2 linked regions of the Drosophila melanogaster genome follow. The protein of the gene in region 1 interacts with the protein of each later gene in a pairwise test. Each region holds a gene or a part of one and is shown on either strand. Other genes may lie near its edges. The genes, in order: CG15130 and CG6726.

Evidence for each region.
Region 2: the proteins of CG15130 (region 1) and CG6726 interact in a two-hybrid assay, tested with the Drosophila melanogaster proteins (one large-scale study listed by BioGRID).

The regions. Positions count from the first base shown.
Region 1 is NT_033779.5:20,422,496-20,426,386, forward strand, and holds CG15130 (uncharacterized protein), read right to left. Parts: upstream 2,166-3,891; 5' UTR 2,105-2,165; coding exon 1,993-2,104; intron 1,933-1,992; coding exon 1,780-1,932; intron 986-1,779; coding exon of another isoform or gene 945-985; exon of another isoform or gene 856-944; intron 779-855; coding exon 690-778; 3' UTR 611-689; downstream 1-610. Other genes in the region: Arpc2 (Actin-related protein 2/3 complex, subunit 2), read left to right, coding at 1-1.
Region 2 is NT_033777.3:23,089,761-23,095,724, reverse strand, and holds CG6726 (uncharacterized protein), read right to left. Parts: upstream 4,002-5,964; 5' UTR 3,969-4,001; intron 3,949-3,968; exon of another isoform or gene 3,863-3,948; 5' UTR 3,855-3,862; coding exon 3,764-3,854; intron 3,670-3,763; coding exon 3,178-3,669; intron 3,125-3,177; coding exon 2,707-3,124; intron 2,644-2,706; coding exon 2,439-2,643; 3' UTR 2,292-2,438; exon of another isoform or gene 2,266-2,291; intron 2,228-2,265; exon of another isoform or gene 2,225-2,227; 3' UTR 2,047-2,224; coding exon of another isoform or gene 1,950-2,046; intron 1,896-1,949; coding exon of another isoform or gene 1,404-1,895; intron 1,346-1,403; coding exon of another isoform or gene 931-1,345; intron 876-930; coding exon of another isoform or gene 671-875; 3' UTR 541-670; downstream 1-540. Other genes in the region: CG17110 (uncharacterized protein), read right to left, coding at 671-875, 931-1,345, 1,404-1,895, 1,950-2,046.

The sequences.
Region 1 (3,891 bases):
ATGTGTTCAGTATATTTAGTTGTTTTTATATAAATACAAAAAATAAATTGTGTATTAAAATTCGATATCCGAATGGTGAATCCAACATAAACTAAACCAGATTGCAAGACAAACCCAAGTATTCCAAACAGAACCGTAAGGCTAAATGTAAGCTCAGCAAAATAATGATCAAAGAATTAATAGTTACGCGTTAGTAAATGAATTGTGTGTGTTTGTGTCGAGTCATCGTCAAATCCGTGTCTCCGCCAATTTGTTACAGTCATAGGCCGAGTCAGCGCCACAGCTGAGCCGCATTTTAAACAAATAAACGTAGACTTAAGTGCAACATGAGAACTAAAACTACCATGTCAAAGCGAGCAACACGACTAAGGGATGCCACCAACTTGTTATATAGTCGCAATGGAGGATTCATCCCCGCAATTAGCCTGTATGTGTAGAAAGCGCATTTAAAAACGTACTGCAAATATTAACAAACCTTTGATACAGCAATCGGAATTAATAAAAACGAGAAAATCAAACTGCAATGTAAAATAAAAAAAGGGACACTCTTTTAATCTCTAGCTAGCTGCAGACGCTCGAATACACTTTATTTTCTAGCTTATTAGCTTTTAATTGCACATAATGTCTTAAATGTTACTAATATTTCGCTTAGGTATACCATCTCCGCTGCACAATACTATAACAGGCACTTAGATCTTAAACTTAACATTCTGCTTCGCGTTCATGCTCTCCATGCTGACCTGGAAGTTGAGATAGTCGCTCTGGATGCGGGCACACACTGAAAGAAATGTGTTGGGTAAACTAAGTTGGGACTGAGGAGCGCTTTGACTGTTACTATTGAGATGTGCTACTTACTTACAGTGGCAGTGTTCATTGCGATAGAGAGTTTACTGCTTAAGTACTTCCGATAGTTTGTACAGGGTGCGGGTGAATTTACAGAGCCCCTAGGGATCATCGTACTGTTCCAATTTGATATAAGCAAGTGCTGTGATAGAGAAGCGGCAGGGCGAGATGGATAGAATAAGTGAGTAAATCGCTTAACACTGGGAAAAATTCGTTCCAAGCATGCGAAGAGTTCTCATAAATTTGGAACAAGTCCAAAACTCAAGAAGATACTGACTTGAAATGCAATTTTGATTATTATTCTATTAGAAGAAGATAACTGAGAGTGAATATTTTGAATTTGAAATATTTTAAAATAACGTAACAATATTAAAAAACCATTTCAGTCGAAATTAAATTGATTACTGGTGGGATAACTGAAGATCAAAGTTTTGTATCGCAAGCTACTACTTTTCCGTTTATGTTATTTTAAGCCCCTTTTTATAAATTTGCTATCAAGATTGGAAAACAGAAGTGCTTTTCGTCCAATTGTGGTTCGGAACTTATCTTAAATGGTTGTAATGCCATAAAATACTACAATTAACAAGTTATTTAGACACCTAATTATTCAGCTGACTAGCATCTCTCTATAAGAAATCCCTTCACATTCAAAAACTTCAGAAAGAATTTTTCTCAGTGTGAGGTAACTAGCGTGCGACAAGAGGAGTCAGCTGGAGGAGTCGTTTATCATTTTGTATATATACAAATGCGTGAACTCGTGTGGGAGGTGGGTGGTGGATGGGCGGGATAGTGAGGATGGGTAGGAGGAGCTCCAGACAGGAAAAGGGCTTGGCTCGCATTAGGGTGACAGCGAAAGTGGGGCAGTTGGTACACAGGTTTTCTACGCGATGTGTATGTATGAGCGGGGGTAATGAGATGGCGGAGCCACTTTCTCACCCTTCTGCAGGTCCATGTCGTCCATTTCGGAGTTCTTGATCTGCTGCAGCTTCTCGCGGAACTTCTTTGTGATCTGCTTGCGCTGGTAGTCCGCCTCGATTTCCTGCTTGGTGCGCGGTATACGGAAGCGAATGCAGCAGCATACCATAATCACTGCGGCAATGATTCGATTAAACTGTGTCCAGACCGAAGCTACAGCTATGATGTACTCACTTATTAGGAGGAGGACACCCAGAACGGCGGCGATAATGTGCCACACTCGGAAGCCCGCTATGACCACACTTTCCAGCCACATTTCATCGAAGATATCCGAATCGTCATCCATTTTCCGCTTGGTTTGTGAGCTCTGTCAGGTGCTGGAACCGCGGAGCTGCTCCCAAAACACGTCCGGCTGCCTGGCCAATCCAGTTCCTACTGCTGGCCCAGGAACTGGTCCGAACTGGCCTGTCCCACCAAATAAGTTGGTAAGGGAGGCGCGGCCCAACACACTCCCTTCCTTCTGGAAAAATAATTCGCGGGGTGTATCCATGTGGCGGCAAAATGGCTAACTTGTAAAATAACAAACAATGGAGCCATCCCCTCCTGTGGACAAATGAAGCCTGAAACTAGAAAAGGCAATGATAGATATTTTACTAGACACAGGGCAGGATTGCTTCGGATGGAGGAATCTGGAACACCTTTGTCCTTACGAAACTTGCAATAGTTAGTCCTTAACAACTAACAAGTTCATGTTCTGAACATAAGGTATATTTGGAAAAAACGATAAAAACCTTTTTTAAAAACCTTCATTTGATTTTAAAGTGGTAAAATTATACAGTTCCTAAATATCTGTATAAAGTATTATGAACAAACTCAACCTCCTTTGTAAAAATCCGTCCCTGGTACATTGTGAATATGAATGCTAAAATGACAACAAACTCGACTCGAGTCCAAGAAAATGGGTGCGGTGCCGCATGCCTCAGGATAAAGACCCACTCACTTTACATACCGCAAGGATCGGGGGCGCAACAGCGGGGAATCGCGGGGCCAGGACAGTCCTCCCCCAACAAAGGACAACATGCAAGTGGTTAGTTAAACGGGCATGGTCACCTGCTGGTCACACCCAATTGGTTTTGTTACTTTCCGCGCTCGCTGAGATGCTAACTACTAAGGTCTGGGCGGGATTTGGAGGCGCCGGAATATGGCCTAATGACTGTAGAATGAAGGAATTGGCGTCCGGTCTTATGTGTGACTGCAATTACTCAATCAGACTGAGGGGACGTGGTCCTTTTGTCCCTTTATATACGTCTTCCAGATAAACAATTGTTATGAAGCCACTGAGGAAAGTCTGCTGGCTTACTTATAGTTGTTTTGTGATGGCGAATTTTAATAATATTATTAAATCTTAAGTAAATAAGAGTAAATCACAATTAACCGCAACTTTAGCGGATACTGCAATCGGATGTCTGGCAAAATTGTTCATAATTTTCCTGATCGGATATAAAACGGAGTTCGATGATGCTTCTAGATCCATTAGCATCCATGATGAGGACGATATGGTGTGCGAGCAGGCCGAGAAGGGTGCCCACTTGCCAGTACCATCTACACCATCTACCACTTTTTTTATTCACTGAATGAGAGTTTTCCTGGAAGTAATCGTTTGATCAAAACATTTATTGAGGTGTTAACTTAGCCCATTAGGTACATACGTTTCGAAACTCTAAACTTAGTTTTAAAGAACCGCGTAGTGCTTATCGAAAGGTGGCGCCACCTGGAAGGACGAAACTCGCGATGGCATTGGCCGAACCGTTCACAATGGACCCCAAAATGGCACTCGCTGGGATTGAGGCGCTTGCGCAGGAGCACTCAGTGTCGCCCCAGCGAGTTGGGGCAGCACTCATTCACCTACTCATTCAACAAAATGTGTGCTGTGTGCTATCCCGAATCAGTTTCAGTTCAGGCTCTCGTTCGGTGGCACATCGGTGGCGCTCGTCGCAGAAAAGGCATGCAGAGAAAATTTAGAAAGTAGTTGCTGAAAAAAGCAGAGCGCAGCCAACCCAAGCAGAGGAACACTGGGGGAAAATCGAAACCGAGGGGCGATTATATTGCGAATCGGATGGATCATATATCCGC
Region 2 (5,964 bases), on another chromosome or scaffold:
TATGTTTTCGCTGCCAGTCACCAAACTCGAATGTGCCGCAGTTGGCAAAAAATGAACTTATACAGAAATTTTTGTGTGTTGGGTGATTTTGGTTTTATGGCCTTGGCTTCGTATTATTATCAAATAATGAGTTCGTTATCAAACTCGGTTGTTATAGAAATGATAACAGCACATATTCTTGTACAAAATTCTACCAAAACAAATGTCTAATAGCAAACGGTAGCCAATTCGATAAAGTTCACATAACACCAATAAAACTCAACCACCGTCGTTTATGGTCTGCGAAAAAATGGGTTATTATAATTTGTATTTGGTTTGATAAGAAAATAGAATACATATTAATGTAATTATTGATAATTATGATGTATATATAAAATACAACCCCTTTACGTGAAGGTTACGTTAGTTTTTGAGAACGATATCAATAGTTGTGACGATTTATTGGATATTGAATGAGGGCAAAGTCCATGACAAAAACTCTCTTCTGAAACTCGTGTTATCAGTGTGTGATTTTCATTTGTTTAGAAACAGATATGATTTGTAGTAGTCACACCATTTAAACATTTAATTTTGGTCCTACACTCATCGAGCCAAAAACATTACTCATAAGCGATAAGACCAATTGTAGCATATTGATTTCCATTTATGAGTGGAACTTCGCTTGAACATTTTATGAATCAGCAATAGAGGGGATGAGCTTCCTGTACACCTGAATTCCGTGCAGATATGTGTCGGCCCGCAAATATTCATCATGATTGTGCAGCAGCACCGGGGTGTTGTTGATGGGTGAAAATCCCAGAGCGGGAATTCCCACTTGCCGGACGTAGAAGCTATCGGTGGCGCCGGGGAAAACTCGTGTATGGGTGATCAAACCTCTGGAAAATTTCAACAAATTATGAAGTGAAAACTACACAATCTTTGTTTACCTACAGTTCATCTAGTCCCTTTTTGAAGCCCAGCCAGTAGGGATTGGAGTCGTCTATCTTGGTCACCACCGAGGGGCACTTCAGCGTGAAATCCAGTTCCACTCCACCACCGACTTCGTTGCACCACTCGCGAATCTGATTCTCCATTGCATCGGCATTCTGGTTGATGGCTATGCGAATATCAAAAGTGGCTTCTAGTACGGGGGGAACCACATTGCTTTGGACGCCACCGTTGAGTTGGGTCAGGTTCAAAGTGGTCACATCACCGGACTGCAAGGAGGAGTCCTCGGCCAGTAGCTTGACCTGGGTTTCTCGGAACTTCATCAGCTTATCCATCACAAAGTGAAACTTTTCGCCAGCCGTGCTTTTGTGCAGCAGCGATCCATGACCTGAAGTGCCACTGAATTTAAATCGAAGTTCTGCAGGGGTATAAAATGAATCAGAATATATTGCTACTGATGCAAATGGAAGACTTACGCCACAATGTACGCTCGGCGTAAAATACAGGATAAGTGTCATCTTCACTGGCGATGCCCTCGTCCAGGCTAAAGCCCACATTCATGGCTTTGAAGTAATCACCCTTGACGAATTCAGCCATGCCCATGTGTCCGCCAGTTTCCTCGTCGGGCACAAAAGTCAAATATACGGTCCTTTTTGGCTGATAGCCACTGGCTTTGAGTGCACGGACCGCAGCCATGTACTGACATCCCACGGACTTCATGTCCTGGGCACCGCGTGCATAAATCCGGCCTTGGGCGTCTATGTGGGCACCAAACGGCTCATGGGTCCACTTTTCGGGAAACACGGGCACCACGTCCATGTGTGAGTTCAATATAATGGATTTCAGCTCGGGATGCTTGCCCAGCCACTTCATAATCACCACCGGTTTCGAAGGCACAACAGGATACACCACGTCCACGCGGAGATTAAGTTTGTTAGCCTGGCGTTTTAGGAACTCCACGCATGCAGCTGCAAGGGAAATAGGGATAACAAAATCCAAGGAGCGGAAAAACAAATCCTTACTGTAGTCCACGTCTGGATGCACCGAGGGAATGCGCAAATACTCCTGGAAAATGATTATTTCCTCGTCGTTCTTCCATTGTTCCGTGCAAGTGCACATTTTGAGTTGAATGCCCCGTGGTTCTAAAGGAACTGACTTGTAATCCACCGTGCTGTTTGGTTTGAAGTCTGAGTGTGGATTGACTTAATGGCATTATCAGTTGTTGACTTTAAGCTACTTGATTAGAAGAGCCCACAATTTGCGGATTTTCATCTTTGCGCTAAGAGCTTAATGTTATCTAGCAAAGCCATAATAGTAAACCATAAACTTATTCATTTTCATTTAAATTTCCTTTTTTTGCTCACCATTAATGGTATGGACTATGGACTGGCTTATTTATTCATACATTGTTTATTTAAATGGGTTTTTATAAGCCTGCTTGTTTAAAGTTATTACAATAAACATCGACAAGTAAGCATTAAATGCATTATTTCATAATTGAATTGAGTTCGCTAAGCATCAGCTACGGCAGGAATGAGCTTCTTGTAAACCTCAATGCCGTGCAAATAGGTATCGGCTTTCAGGAATTCATCGTGGTCGTGCAGCAGGATGGGGGTGTTGTTAATGGGCGAGAATCCTAGAGCTGGAATGCCTGCGTAGCGAATATAACGACTGTCCGTGGCGCCGGGGAAAACACGAACCCGTGTCTTGAGGCCACTGAAAGAAACAAGGAGAAAGGATATCAGAGCCATGCCTTTTGTCAGAGCTTCTCATCCTTACAGGTCATCGAGTGCTTTCTTAAAGGCCAGCCAGTAGGCATTCGACGAGTCAATCTTTGTTGGCTCCACAAAGGGGTTTTTCATCTCAAACTCCAGTTCAATGCCGCCGCCAGCCTCCTCGCACCAGTCGCGAATCTGCTTCTCAAAGGCAGGGATATCCACGGTGACGGCAATGCGGATATCAAATACAGCTTCCAGCAATGGGGGAACCACGTTGCTCTGGACTCCGCCCCTCAGTTGGGTGAGATTCACAGTGGTCACATCACCAATTTCGAGGGATGAGTCGTCAGCTAGTTTTTGCACTTGCGATTTGCGGAACTCCATCATTTTGCCTACCACATAGTTCAGCTTCTCGCCAGCAGTATTCGGGAGCAACAGTGATCCGTGACCAGCAGTTCCGCTGATCTTGAAACGAAGATCTGCAGGAAAACATGGCTAGCTTAAATTGTTTGTATGAGTCAATCCTACTCACGCCAAAGAGTCCGTTCAGCGTAGTACAGAGCGTAGGTTTCATCCGCACTAGAGATTCCCTCGTCGAAACTGAATCCCACATTGAGCTTCTTGAAGTAGTCGCTCTTTACCAGCTCCCGCATGCCCAGGTGGCCGCCAACCTCCTCGTCCGGAACATAAGTGAGATAGATCGTCCTCTTGGGTTGATAGCCACTGGCCTTGAGGGCACGCACAGCTCCCAGATATTGGGTGCCCACGCACTTCATGTCCTGCGATCCGCGCGCAAAGATGCGACCCTCTGCATCTAGATCCGCGCTGAATGGACCGTGTGTCCACTTCTCCTCAAAAACGGGCACTACATCCGTGTGCGAATTGAGAATGATGGAGGGCAGTTCCGGCTGGGAACCCTGCCATTTTAGCACCACCACGGGATTCTGCTCGTTCACCGGATAGATAACCTCCACGGGCAGGTCCAAGCTGGCAGCCTGGCGTTTCAAGAATTCCGTGCAAACGGCTATAAATAGCAGACACATTTTATGGCAAGGTCATAAAGATCAGGGTACTCTTATCGCAGCCTCATAAAGATATACATGCCCATTGGAACTCACTGTAATCCACATTTGGATGCACCGTTGGTATGCGAAGATATTCGCGAAAGATCTTAATCTCCTCGTTGTTCTCCCACTTGGCTGTACTCATTTTGCACTCTATAAAATGTAAATAATTAGCCGGCTGATAACAAATCAATTAAATTGTTTGCTGAAATCAGCTGATCGACACTTCACCACAGCGGAGAGCAGACACACAACACACCTTTCGCAACACTGGCTCGACGACGACTGTGCGATCGTGGAGAGAAGCGCGCGTTTAAATATCAGCGATAAGCGAGCGAAAGAGAGGGCATGATAATAAATCCGAGAAGGAACTAAACCTAATTTCTTATCATACGGTGCTGCCTATAAACTGTTTTATCTTACGCATTTGTTTACTTTTTAGATGGCTAATCTACTTTTCAGTACAAATGACTTGCAGTTAACAATTGCTTCCGTCATTAATAATATTCGTGTCTTCCCATTTCTATATGAGAAACTAATTTGATGAATTTAATATCCAGCACTCAAAAATTCAATTGATTACAAAAGAGACATCCCCTAATAGTAATTTCTATCTTGTACTGCATTATTTATAAATTAAACTGAATTTTGCAGCTCATAGCACAAGGAGTGGAACTCTATTTCTGTACCATCCCAATTGGTAGGGATTCCACTCCATGTATTGGTGAACATTCTTCCATCACTTTCCGGTACATATGAACCCACTTTAAGGCTCATTTACTTGGGATTCCCCCTGGCTGATGGATTTATTTGCCTTAAATGGAGGCGAAGGTGCTTCGCATTGCTTTGGGGGTAACAGGACTGCAGGATTGCTGGATTGATGGTGACCCCATTTGGCCCGCAGCCAAGATTTCCGATTACTGATGAATCGCATGCAATCGCATTCCAATTCCAGTTGATTTGTTAATCAAGATGCACTGCACACGTTCGCACCACACGCCCAGTGGGCTTCCGGGTAAACAAGTTGCCCCTCCTCGGGCCTTTCAGCCACTCGAATCCAATTCAAATTTCGCATATTAATAGTGTTCCTGCTGCACTTGCCGACTTTGCTGCACTGCGTCTGTTGTCCCAGTAGTGTGTCAAAAGTTAGTTTCGCATTTAGATTTCACGCTTGTTCCCATACAGAAAAAAAGGTGGTTGGGCCAAAAAAAATACACAAAACCAAAGCCCTCTGATTTGTGTCGCATACACACCCTGCTAGGCCAAAGTTGATATTGTTTTAGTGTGTGTACTCACAAAAAGTCATTAAAAGTTCATTAACAATGTTGCTGGGATTTTAATGGCGCACCAGCAGCAATAGCAGCAACTACAGGCTACACATGTCTGCATTTTAAATAACATCCAAGCCCCACATTCGTACAAACTCGTACTCTCCCCATTTACAGCGTCACATAAGTCAAATAAATACACAAGTTTCCTGCGCACAAACACTCGTTCAGCTGCACAATGGGCCAAAATGGCAAGTTTTTGGCATAATTCGAATGTAATGTCCCTAGAATAGAGTCTATAAGTCTGTACAGAGGCTAAAGTAGTTCATTCTTAGTCGAGTAAAACACGAATCTACTTATCTGATGCCAAATTATTCACTTTTCGCCCATGGTGGTGACTTGGGGGCGCGCCTGTTTGTTGTTTGCTGATGTTGCTGCTGAGCTGACATGTTGTCGCTGGGCAAATAAACTAAATGAAAATTTTGTATATTGTAACAATTATCCGGGCAACGCCGGAAACTGTTTGCGTTGAGCACCCAAAACCTGCAGAACTGCAGAGATGGAACCCCGAGGATATCGCCTAATCCGTTATGGGCGCATTACCTGGCCAAAAAAAGCAAAAAAAAAAAATAAAAGCGAGAGAACTGATATAATCCTCCTCTGCCATTTACCATTTACCATATCCCTCGGCCCAGAGCGTACATTTCCTTTTGTTCGAGCTTTTTTCAGAGCCCATGGCAAAGTTTCGGTAGTATGGAAATATGGAATGGGAATTGGGTTGCTGGCGGACTGACAGCTCAAGGACAATCCGGAGGGCATGCGTTTGCATCGCCTGGAGAGCTTCAATTTGTGTGTGTGTGTGTCAGGCATTAGGTGGAACGAAAAAAAGGAGCTCAGCTCTTGGCAAGCACTTTAGCAAACTGCACTCACAGTCGACATCGATATACAAAAAGTGCTGGCCAACAGTGCGTATGCGTGCTGCTTACT